2 linked regions of the Caenorhabditis elegans genome follow. The protein of the gene in region 1 interacts with the protein of each later gene in a pairwise test. Each region holds a gene or a part of one and is shown in the gene's direction. Other genes may lie near its edges. The genes, in order: F53G12.4 and slfl-5.

Region 1 (5,229 bases):
TTTTGCGAATTTTAATAAGAATTTTAAATGACAAATAAGGATTTTTCAGAAATTCTCAGCCGCAAGTACGATGCCCTGTCCGCATGGTCGTCGATGGGATTGGAGAAACGCGAGGAATCCCCAACCAATGGGTATATATTTTTGAAGGAATTTTATAAATTTTTGAAATAAAACTAAAAATTGCAATTTTCCTTCAAAGTTCTAAATTTTTGAAAGAAAATTTGATTTTCCGCTAAAAAATTTAAAAAAAAAACAAGTTTTCGTGTTTTCCACTCGGAACCTGACGGCTTCTTATCAATTTTTTAAATAAAAAATAACGTTTCTAAAACTCAGAATGTTTAAAAAATTTCACATTAAAAAATTATTTTTCCGAAATCTTGAACCTATCCGTTTTTGAAAATAAAAAAGAGTAAAATCGTAGTTTTCTCTATAAAAATTATAATTTTCATTTGAAATTCAAAAATTTTTAAATAAAATTGGATTTTGTCCGTCAGAAATCTATAAAAAGAAAATTTTTTTTGAACAATAAAAGAAAAATTGTAATTTTCTTTTGAACTTCAAAAAAATATGTTTTTTTTCACATGCAAAAAATTGATTTTTTCAAAACCTCGTTTTTGAGAGAAAAAGGTGAAATTCCAATTTTAAGAGGTAAAGTTAAATTTATTTATTTTATGAGAAAAACTTGAAATTTAAAGGAAAATTACTGAAATTTACAATTTATCATACATATTTTTTAATTTCGACATATCTCGAAATATCAAGTCGTAAATTTTTTCCACAAAAGTGTGATATTCTCTTTAAAAACTAGAAAATTTCAATTGTAAATTTATGAAAAATCAAATTTTTTGCAGGCTCATGTCCTCCCTCAAAGGAACATCCGCCGGCTTCGGTCTTCTCAGCACAATCTGGTCTGGCGGAAACATGAATCTGAGCCCAGGATCGTTGGCTTCAGCATCTGCCTCGCCGACTTCATCGACCTGCGATCACAACGATCATACTCTCGTGCCGATCAATGGATAAGCTGTGGATCCATTCATCATTCCATTACTATCGTGTAGACTCTCATCTAGCAAAAACCCATCCTCAACGAGTTCCAAATTCATCTTTCCATTCTTTAAAAGACTCTTTTTCCCATTTTCTACTTTGTTCATCGGTGTACGAGTCCCTCCATTCCCATTTTCTCACCTCTTTACTACATTACTAGAACACACAAAAATCACCATCATTCTCACCCCAAAATCCTAGACAAAAAAAACGAAAAAAATCACATATATTTATATATAACTATTATTATTTGTTATTCATATTTTTGAAATATCTATATTATATATATTTATATATGTAACCCATGCAGTCCCCCAATATATATTCCTACAGTAGGTTTTTTTGGAAAATCTGTAACTTTCTCTATTATTCTTTTTTGCATTATGATAGGACGACCAACTCATGTTTTAAACAAAAATTATATATATTATAAGGATTTCCTCTTTTCTCTCTATCTCTCACCTAGTGTTTAACTCCCAATTTTCCCCCTCTCTACTACGCACAACTAACGGAGAATTGAGAGGCCTTTTATATTTATAGCACCTCTTTATAATTAAAAACTCGAGTGATCCCCACCTCACCCATCAAATTTATCGTATTTTGTAAAAGTTCTGATATATTCCACAGATTTTGGTGTATGTGAATGAAGCGATTCGTGTCGTCTCTCCATATTCTGGTATCCATAGCAACTCCCCGAGCTTTTGGCTCACTCGCGCACGCCCTATACTATACCTTTACTATTATTAAATGCACTCAACAAATCCTATCCTGCGTCAATTGGCCGATCAATTGTCCGAATTGCCACAATATGCACCATTGCGGGTAATAATAGCACAATAGTTGAATATATTAATAATTCAAAAATATTTATTATATTTTGAGGTGTCCCATTGTTTCAGACATATATCCGCGCGACGATAAGTGCCACGTTGGGGGAAACGCCAAAGAAAACGAGTAGGGATTTGACGTATAGAGGTGAAATTTTTAGAAAATTTGAAATTTTCTGAAAAAAAAAGGATTTTTCTTTTATGAAAAATGCTCTTTTCGCCAAAAAAATCACAATTTTCGACTTAAAAACTTCAAAATTTTTTCAGGAACACACAATTCAAAATACAAAATATCTCGTAGCAAAAACTACAGTAATTCTTTAAATGACTACTGTAGAGCTTGTGTCGATTTACGGGCTCAATTTTAAAATTAGATAAAAATGAGAAAATAAAGACACGAAGAAACGAATGAAAGTGTAATATCGAAAATATTCGAAAATAAATAAATTTCAAAAATCGAGTCCGTAAATCGACACAAGAGCTACAGTAGTCATTTAAAGAATTACTGTAGTTTTCGTTACAAGATATTTTGCGCGTCAAATATATTGTGCAATATGCATTTTCAGAATTTTGTGTTTCCGTAATAGGTAAAATGTCAGAAAATCAAGGATTCAGTGCAACCCCGCGTTCTACGGGTATTTTGGCCACGGCCACTTTTTGCAAAACTGCAAAATAGGCGTTGTTATTTCATTTTCTGAAAAAAACATTGAAAATTATTATCGAGAAAGTACGATCTGACAAATTTCTCATAATTTATTTTTGATCTACCTGTTGAACTTTACTCCGCCCCCAATCTTGTTGCCGTTGTTATTTTGTTGTAGCTGTCTTGTCGAAGGACGGGGAGGAGCCTAGTCAACAAGGTAGATAAAAAATATATTATGAGAAATTTGTGCGATCGTATTTTTTCGATTATATATATATATATATCTTCATGTAATTCTCATGAAATCTTGAAAAAAAACGCGACACATGGTATTACCACGCCCACTTTTTATAATTTGAGCGCGTGCAATTTTTTGTCGATAACATAGTTTCTATTTAAACAAAAAACATCGTGCGCCCACATTGAAGAAAATCCTATAATTGGGCGTGGCCTTAACTCTGAAAATTTACAGAACGTGTCACCCATAGCATGATTGCCGATTGGCTCGAGCAGAATGGATATCCAATATCATCTCAAGTCTTGAAAACAGAAATGTCTGGAAACTACATGGAGAGTGCAGAAAAACACGTGGAAAATGGGGAAAAAATCGATAATCTATTGCGAAGTCAGCTGAAAATCGATATTCGCGATGGCACCGGTGACGATTTTGAACGAAAATCGATAAAATCGATTGGCGCCGGCCGCCCGTTTGCAAAAATTAATATGGTCGATAAACAGCGAGCACCGTTGAAAATTACACCGCTTAGTGATGAGGAATTTCGAAAAACGATGCGGAAACGGATGGAAATGGAGAGGGAACGAGTGAGTTGCGTTAAATAATTTTTTTTTGAAATATTTAACAAAAGTCGACAAGGCGATTTTTTAAAATCGATGTTTCGCGACTTTTATTCAAAAGAAAAATTTCAATGCCCTAAATCACTCAAATGATGATTAAAAAAGTATTTGCGCGCGCGCGTAAAATTTAGTGCCAGCGTATGACACTATGTGGTGCAAACTTCACTCCGGGTCCGACACTTTTTGGATTTTGCGCATCGCTATAAAGATTTCAGATCGCGGCGTGAGAGCGGCGTTTGCGGCGCCGACATGAGAGTCCTACTTTCCTACTTTTCTTGGCAAAAAAATCGATCGATTTTTCAGCTCGCACGTCTATCCAACCAGGCAGAAGACGATTCCGACGATTCATCGTCCTCCTCCGACTCTTCCACGTCATCCGCGTCGTCATCTTCCGAGGAGAAGTTGACTTTTTCGGATATCTTGGGGAAACCCACAGCAGCTGGCGCGGAGAAAATGATCGAACTAAGCCAAATTCCCAACGCATGGGGTCCGTCAAAATCCGCGTTAGTCACTGATGACGTGGCAAGCACTTCTGACCCACTTCCGGCGATTTTCAACGCACATCTTCCGCCGCTCTCCATGGGACGACCACCGCTGACAAAAAGCGCGAAAAGTCGGGAAATCGACGCCATTTTCGGCTCGGATAACGTGGATTATGATTTAGAGGATTTCGAGCAGGATGGCGTGGCGAAGAAAAAGTCTATACTGCCTATGGAGAAAAAGAAGGAGGAAGCGAAACCAAAGGAACAGGAGCTAGTGGAGCCGTTGGTCTTGTCAGAAGGTAACTTTGAACTTGCACCATGCAAAAATTTCGAAAAATTATGCACGTGGTCACTGGCTGTCCTTTTGCATAAGCTTGAAGCAAACGCGCCTCATTGAGAATTCACGTTTGCGCCAACTCTCGCTATCCATTGGGCGTGAGAGACGCAGATACTACTTTTTTCTCTGAACGTGAAAAACGCAAAGAATAACCGTTTTGCCGTCTGCATCTCTTCTTTCACACGCTATTTTGGCTGTGGACGAGGAATTCTCCTCTTCCAGGATTTTCTAGGCCATTTTCTCATATTTCTCAAGTTTTCTCGTCCGCGAGAAAACGTGAATTTTGAGACAGCCAGCGAGCACGTGATTATGCAACTCTCCTAAAAATCGATCATTGTTCCTGTAGCTTATAATTTTAAAGGCGCATATTCCGCTTGCGGAGCAAAAGTAAAAAAAAAACATGCCTCTACATACAAATCGATGAATTTCCTGAAAAATCAATAATAAAAAATTTTCAGGAGAATCAATCGACGAGCTTGAAGATTTCGACACCGGTCTACTATCTTCCGGAGGATCCGATTATTCTTTTTAAAATTTTCTTCTTTTAAAAAATTTCTTTTGAAATAAATAAATTCTCACCTAGGAATTTCAACAATTCAACTTGAAAAAAGTTCGCGCAAACTACGAACAAATGTGTGTCGAGCGGGCGGAGCCACTGAGAAAGAGGAGCAAAATGTACACAAAACCATATTTGAGTGTAATTTTTCAAAGTTTGGCGCCGATTTTCTGTGAGAGATGAGTTTTCTCAATTTATATTTGGTTATTTTTATTTTAGTTCTTACTGGTAAATTTCTGGGTAAGTCCTGATGACTTTGAAAACGAAAAAAACTCTTTCATTGATGCTAGTGCGATTGCTAGGAAAGCAACTTTTCAGTTACCAAGAAAAAGTCCAAGGCCATAGGGATTAGCTGCGTGGCATAACAACTCATCCATCCTCGCAGATGCAAATCCGCTCTATTGGCAAATAACATGGAAGAGTATAAACATTTTCTCTTCCACACGGAAACCTAGTCCCCTTGGGGAGCGGTAGTGCCCACAACC
Region 2 (5,964 bases), on another chromosome or scaffold:
GGCATTTGTCCGGTGGTTACAAAGTTGAGTGCCTCGATGGTGGTCTGAAATTTAAAAAAAAGTTATGATGCTCTAATCATATTGATCTTACCGTTTTTCCTGTTCCATTTGGTCCACTGATTAGTGTGCACGGAGAGAGGAAATCAATTTTGTGAACATCGTGGTCCTCATCACCGACACTTCGAATTCCTCTGATGTGTAGCTGAAATTTTCATAAATTTAGTATTTTCAGAGTAAAAATAAATTTGCAGACTTACGCGTAAAAATTTCGCCATAAGCAATTCCCAGGCTTCGATAAGCAAATATCTGAAACATTCTCATTTGCAAATAGGTTTATTCAAAGAAAAATGTTGCGAAATTAAATTAATATATTGATTCCGTTGGAAACTCTGGAAAAAGGACTAAGTAAAGTGAAATTCCTGAGTATTTTCAATTAATTCCTGTGTAAAGTGGGCCTTCTGCGTATTTTTAATTAATTTTTGCGTAAAGTTAAACTCTTGCATGAAGTAAAAAAACAGAAAAAAAACAATTTCGAAAACTGACAAAAAAACAGTTTCCGATTCAAAAATAGAGCGCAAAAACAAAATACGATGCTCCGAAGTTCCGCAAGCGCGTGTTGTTTAACCGAAAGAAGATTTCGATTTTTTCTTTTCCCTCTGCTTTTGATTTTGAGCTTCATATTAATTTCTTCATTCTGAAAATCACGAAAACTCGGTAAAAGCTTCCTGTTTATTTTAATTTTTGGCAATCATGAAATTTTTTTTCAAATTCTCACATGGTTAAAAAACATCAGTCAAACGATTGATAAGATATTTTCCGAACAACTGATAAACTCGTATTCTAGAAATCGTACAAACGGTTTTATTGTTGTTTATTTTGAACTGAACGTTTTTGTCTAAGGAAATGCATCATATTGCGTCACATCGAATGTTGTTCTTAAGAGTAAGGAAATATTTCGCAATTTTCTGCAACATTCTTTAACGGCTGTGTTCGGTCATTTTACTTGTATTTAGGGCTACTAACAGCCCCACTTGTATTATTATTATGATTTTACCTTTCGTTCCAGAAGGCTGAAATTTTAGAAATTCTGAGTAAGACTAACTTTTATGTTTTATTCCAATATATTTACTGTTTAAAAGTATCCTCCATTGTCACCTGGTATTTAGAATGATTATTAACCTGTCGAATGCACCTTCAAAGATCTCAATGCCCACCTACGTGTGAAAACACTTACTTCCTTCTCATTTCCGTCCGATCGTAATCAAAAAGAAACAGGTTTTCCTCTCTCTCATCATCTGTCTTCCAAGCTTCAACTTCAACCTTCCTTCAGTATCTTCTTATTCTTCCAGCTGTCCACTGCCAATCAGTAGGTTCATATTCCCGTAAAAAATCGCCATTTTGTCTGGTTTCTTTTGATTTGAACGCTTCTTTTCATCTCATTCCTCTCTTATTCTCTCATGTATTTGCTCAATCATTCAGCATGCTCACTGTGAAGCTTGTGTGTGCATAATTTCTTTTCATAGAATCGAGCGACGTGGAAATCGATATTTCTCACTGTTCCTTTTTTCAATATTGACAAATTTCCAGTTCAAAAGTCAACTTAACTTGTTGTTATGTTCCTCTCCGATTTTTTCTGTCTTATTTTCTTCTTTCGAAAACAACAGCGGCTCCCCTTTCCCACTTTTTTCTCTTCATACGTCAATTCTCTAAGTTCTCATATTTCTCTACAATCTCTACATGTTGACCGAACCAGTTAACAACTGACTTTTCAAAACCTCTCGAAACACGACATTTTTTTCTCAAGTACCCGAACCTCTCTCCCTATGATTAAAATTTGATGTTCCAGAATCGGAGAATCGAATGATAGATCGAATACGGCGTGAGCAGTAGTTATCCAACTGATTATCTCATTTCATAAAATAATAAACAACTCAATCTCACTATGGATTTTATGATTTCACATTTCTGCGATGAGCAGAATCATCAGCCACTTTACAAAACTAGGTGAGTACGATAAATATTGTGTGGTTAACATTTGAAAATTTTATTTCTAAAATCAAAATTCATTTATTTAAATTCCTTATAAAAAATAAATCAATTCTAAAACATTGATATAAAATCAATTCAATTTATTTAATGTCGCCAAATCATTTAAGGTAGTATATTATATTATTTTTTACAGACGACAATCAATATCGGACTCTAAAAATGGACCAACACTTCTCAGCTCTTCACTGCCAACTAACGATGAATGTTCCGACTCCGACACCGAAAACCGATTGCCACCTGAAACGGAGCTTGGAAATATTGAGTACAAAGCAAAATTAGTAAATCCAACGACATCTCGTATACAACATCTGATCACTCAAATGAAATGGCGTCTTCGTGAGGGTCAAGGAGAGGCTATTTATGAAATTGGCGTTGAGGATGGTGGAATAATGTCTGGATTAACAGACGAGGAACTGAATGATTCACTTCGGACCTTGAGAACGATGGCCCAAGCTCTTGGGGCGAGTATGGTTATTTTGACCGAGAAAGACGTTACTGTTAAGGGATCAAATTCACGGAGAACTGTAGTCGAGGTAATTATTATTGAGTCATATTTTATCTAAATGAAATTATTTTTCTAGGTACTTGTCCGAAAGGTTCCTGAAAGCCAGCAATTCATCGAAGTTCGTCTTGCTGTCGTTGGAGGATGCGATGTCGGAAAATCAACACTGTGTGGAGTGTTAACACAGGGTTGTCTGGACGACGGAAACGGAAAAGCAAGAATTGGAATATTCAGATTTCCACACGAAGTGCGAACAGGAAAAACCAGTTCTGTCTGTAATGATGTCATTGGCTTCGATAATCGTGGAAAGGTTAGAAATTTTTCGAAACATTCAGAATGGGTTAAAATATGCTTGAAAATATTTAAAAAAAAAAACAGTAAACTGATTAAATTGTAGATAATTTCTTTATTGAAAATTTTAAAGTTGGATCCTATTTATTAGGGTTTTTGATTTAAATAATTAAAAAAATGGACGGTAATACCGAATATAATTGTTTCAAAAAATCATAAAATTTTTATAATTTTTTCAATTTTGCAAAAATAAAAAAATAAAAATCTGTTTTTGAATTCCCGCCCAATTATCAAAAATAAAAATTTAAAAAGTTAGAAAGATTTTATAACTTTTAAAATCAATTAAAATCGATTATTACGGTCAATTTTTTTTTCATTCAAAACAAAATTTCAAAATGATTCTACTCCACTTTTGAATACAAAAACAATGAATTTAGAAAAATTTTATTTGAAAAACTTAAATTCGATTTTTTTAAATTTATTTATAAATATCTAATTTTTACTTTTTTCAGCTAGTCAATTATGCACAAAATAGTCTCGAAGAAATGGTGGAGAAGTCTTCAAAACTTGTAACACTTATCGATCTGGCTGGAGACGCAAAATATCAGAAAACGACAATTCATGGATTAACCGGATACACTCCTCATTTCGCTTGCCTTGTTGTAGCCGCCGATCGAGGAATCACGTGGGCCACTCGTGAACATCTTGGATTAATTGCCGCTTTAAACATTCCAATGTTTGTACTGATCACAAAAATGGATCTAGTCGATCGACAAGGACTTAAGAAAATCATCAAAGATGTTTCCAATCTTGTTGCGAAAGCAGGGATGACAGCTCGCGAGAAAAGAGTGAAAACTAAAAGAGACGCAGTGAAGGCGGCACAAGAACTCTGCGTTGGTAGTATCGTACCAGTTCTTGCTGTTAGTTCAGTGAGCGGAGAAGGTTTTCGTTGTCTCAGAACACTTCTCAATTGCCTTTCTACAGCTGGAACTGCAGAGTCACGTATTCAACTAGTTGGACTCCCAGCCTTTTTCACAATCGAGGAACTATATAATGTGCCTCATGTTGGACAAGTAGTTGGAGGAATGCTATCTGAAGGACAATTGCATGAAGGAGCAGATGTTCTTGTTGGACCCATGAAAGATGGAACTTTTGAAAAAATTACTGTCGGGTCGATTCGAAGAAGCCGGCAAGCCGTAGGATGTGTTAATCCTGGTGAAGCTGCATCGATATCCTTGAATCTTCCAGACGGTGTCAGTCTAAGAAGGGTAAGTATTTTTTTCCACAGAAAAATCATTCGAAATGTGAAACATATTGATTATTTTCATTAAAGGGAATGGTTCTTGCTGAAATCGATCATCAACCACCAGTTTGTTACGAATTCACTGCCAATCTTTTACTGCTGTGTCACTCGACGAAATACATATGCGAAGGATTTCAAGCCACAGGTGAGTACTTTTTCTCATTTCAACTTTCAGTTTTGATTTTTTCTGAAATAATTTATGAACTTTTTCAGTGTTTATCGGAAGTGTCTGTACAACTGCCATTATTACTCACATCGACGATGCAGACTGCATCCGTCCAGGAAAATGGGCTGTAGTTAAAATGTGTTTCGCCTATCAACCAGAAGTCATTCGTGAAGGATCACCAATTATTCTTCGTCAAGGAAAAACCAAAGGAATGGGAGAAGTATTAAAAGTATTTCCGTGCACCCAATGATAATTGTTAGTCTGAAAATCTCTAAATTTTACTGCCACCCCCCCCCCCCCCTCCCAATTATCTTGTATATTTTGTGTAGACCTCTTTTTTGTAGTCTTTTTTCACTCTCTCTCTCTTTGCCCTCTCCTCCTAGGTACCCGTGTGTTTACATTTTGCTCCGGGTTGATAATAGTTGTACATAGTTGAAATTGTACAATTCTGAATATTTGTTCACTAAGTGAACCTTTTTGTCTCCAAAAATACTCTAGATCCTCTTTTTTCTCTTCTTCCAGGTGCCCCCACTCATTCTATTCATTTTTTGTAGCATTTTTTGCGCTACTGCTTTTTTAGTTACAATTTTAAAAATGAACTGAATTCACTCTTCCTAGATGTCCCATTTCAATTATTCTAGAAACAAATTTATTAGGAAGTACACATTCAATGGATACAATCAGTGGTTTCTCCACTGAACTGATTAGCTAAGTTCAAAGTTCCAATATCATAATTATCAGTCGAGCTACTTCCAGATGCAACTGCATAATCAGGAATATTGATTGTCACTTTCTTTGAACATGGTCCATTGTAATTACAACTATGATATATATTCACTTTTGGATCCAATGTTAAAATATCTGTATATGTTCCAGAAACAGAAAATGTTCCATCAGATGAGGTGGTCGTCGAACCTAATTTCGAGTCATATACTGAAAAAATCAATTGTTTCAAAACAGTTCTTCCAAATAATAACTTACTCGTTCCATCGTCATACATCTTCACGAGAACTCCACTGGCTGGCTGTCCTTCACAAACCAATTTTCCCGTTACAGTAACACTTTGAGTGCTTCCGATAACATTGAGTAAAGCATCGGAGCAATGAATCAAAAAGAAAACAGAAAGAGCAATATATGTAATTGAAAACATTGTGAACACAAAATTCAGAGTGATTCTTGTAAGACATTTATATACTGTCTACAAGAAGTAAATAGAAACACAGTTCGAGTAAATATAGTCGTTACAAATTGTTACTTTGCTCACTGACTCAATAATTGTCACTTAAAATGAAATCATAGATCAACGACAAAGGATATAATTGGTTCTTTTTAGATAATTCTATTGTAAATATCAACTTTGTTCAACGACTAAAAGTCCATTTTAAATTTGGTGAAACGCCAATAGTAAAAACTTTTAAAATCACTATATGATGCTCACAACGGTAGAAATGACTCAGTTTTCACATTTCATAGTTTTGAAGGTTGACCAAAAAACTTTTAACTTGGATTACATTAAATTAATTTGTAATTGATTTGTAGGGTTTCGAACATACAAGAATGCTTAATGTGATAAAGTTTAAACTAACTTTAAGAACATACTGAAAATTACAAAAAGTGTGAAACATGCTAGTGATTAAAAAATAAATATTCAGT

Evidence for each region.
Region 2: the proteins of F53G12.4 (region 1) and slfl-5 interact in a two-hybrid assay, tested with the Caenorhabditis elegans proteins (2 studies listed by BioGRID).

What each region holds. Positions count from the first base shown.
Region 1 is NC_003279.8:132,563-137,791, forward strand, and holds F53G12.4 (LisH domain-containing protein), read left to right. Parts: upstream 1-1,774; 5' UTR 1,775-1,791; coding exon 1,792-1,866; intron 1,867-1,943; coding exon 1,944-2,019; intron 2,020-2,986; coding exon 2,987-3,336; intron 3,337-3,672; coding exon 3,673-4,150; intron 4,151-4,646; coding exon 4,647-4,720; downstream 4,721-5,229. Other genes in the region: mex-3 (K Homology domain-containing protein), read left to right, coding at 50-131, 852-1,020.
Region 2 is NC_003283.11:12,240,927-12,246,890, reverse strand, and holds slfl-5 (Tr-type G domain-containing protein), read left to right. Parts: upstream 1-1,846; 5' UTR 1,847-1,860; coding exon of another isoform or gene 1,861-1,890; 5' UTR 1,891-1,942; coding exon 1,943-2,004; intron 2,005-2,182; coding exon 2,183-2,582; intron 2,583-2,630; coding exon 2,631-2,861; intron 2,862-3,354; coding exon 3,355-4,110; intron 4,111-4,175; coding exon 4,176-4,290; intron 4,291-4,358; coding exon 4,359-4,561; 3' UTR 4,562-4,920; downstream 4,921-5,964. Other genes in the region: rad-50 (Zinc-hook domain-containing protein), read right to left, coding at 1-44, 92-202, 258-306, 1,235-1,245; ttr-22 (Transthyretin-like family protein), read right to left, coding at 4,979-5,244, 5,293-5,461.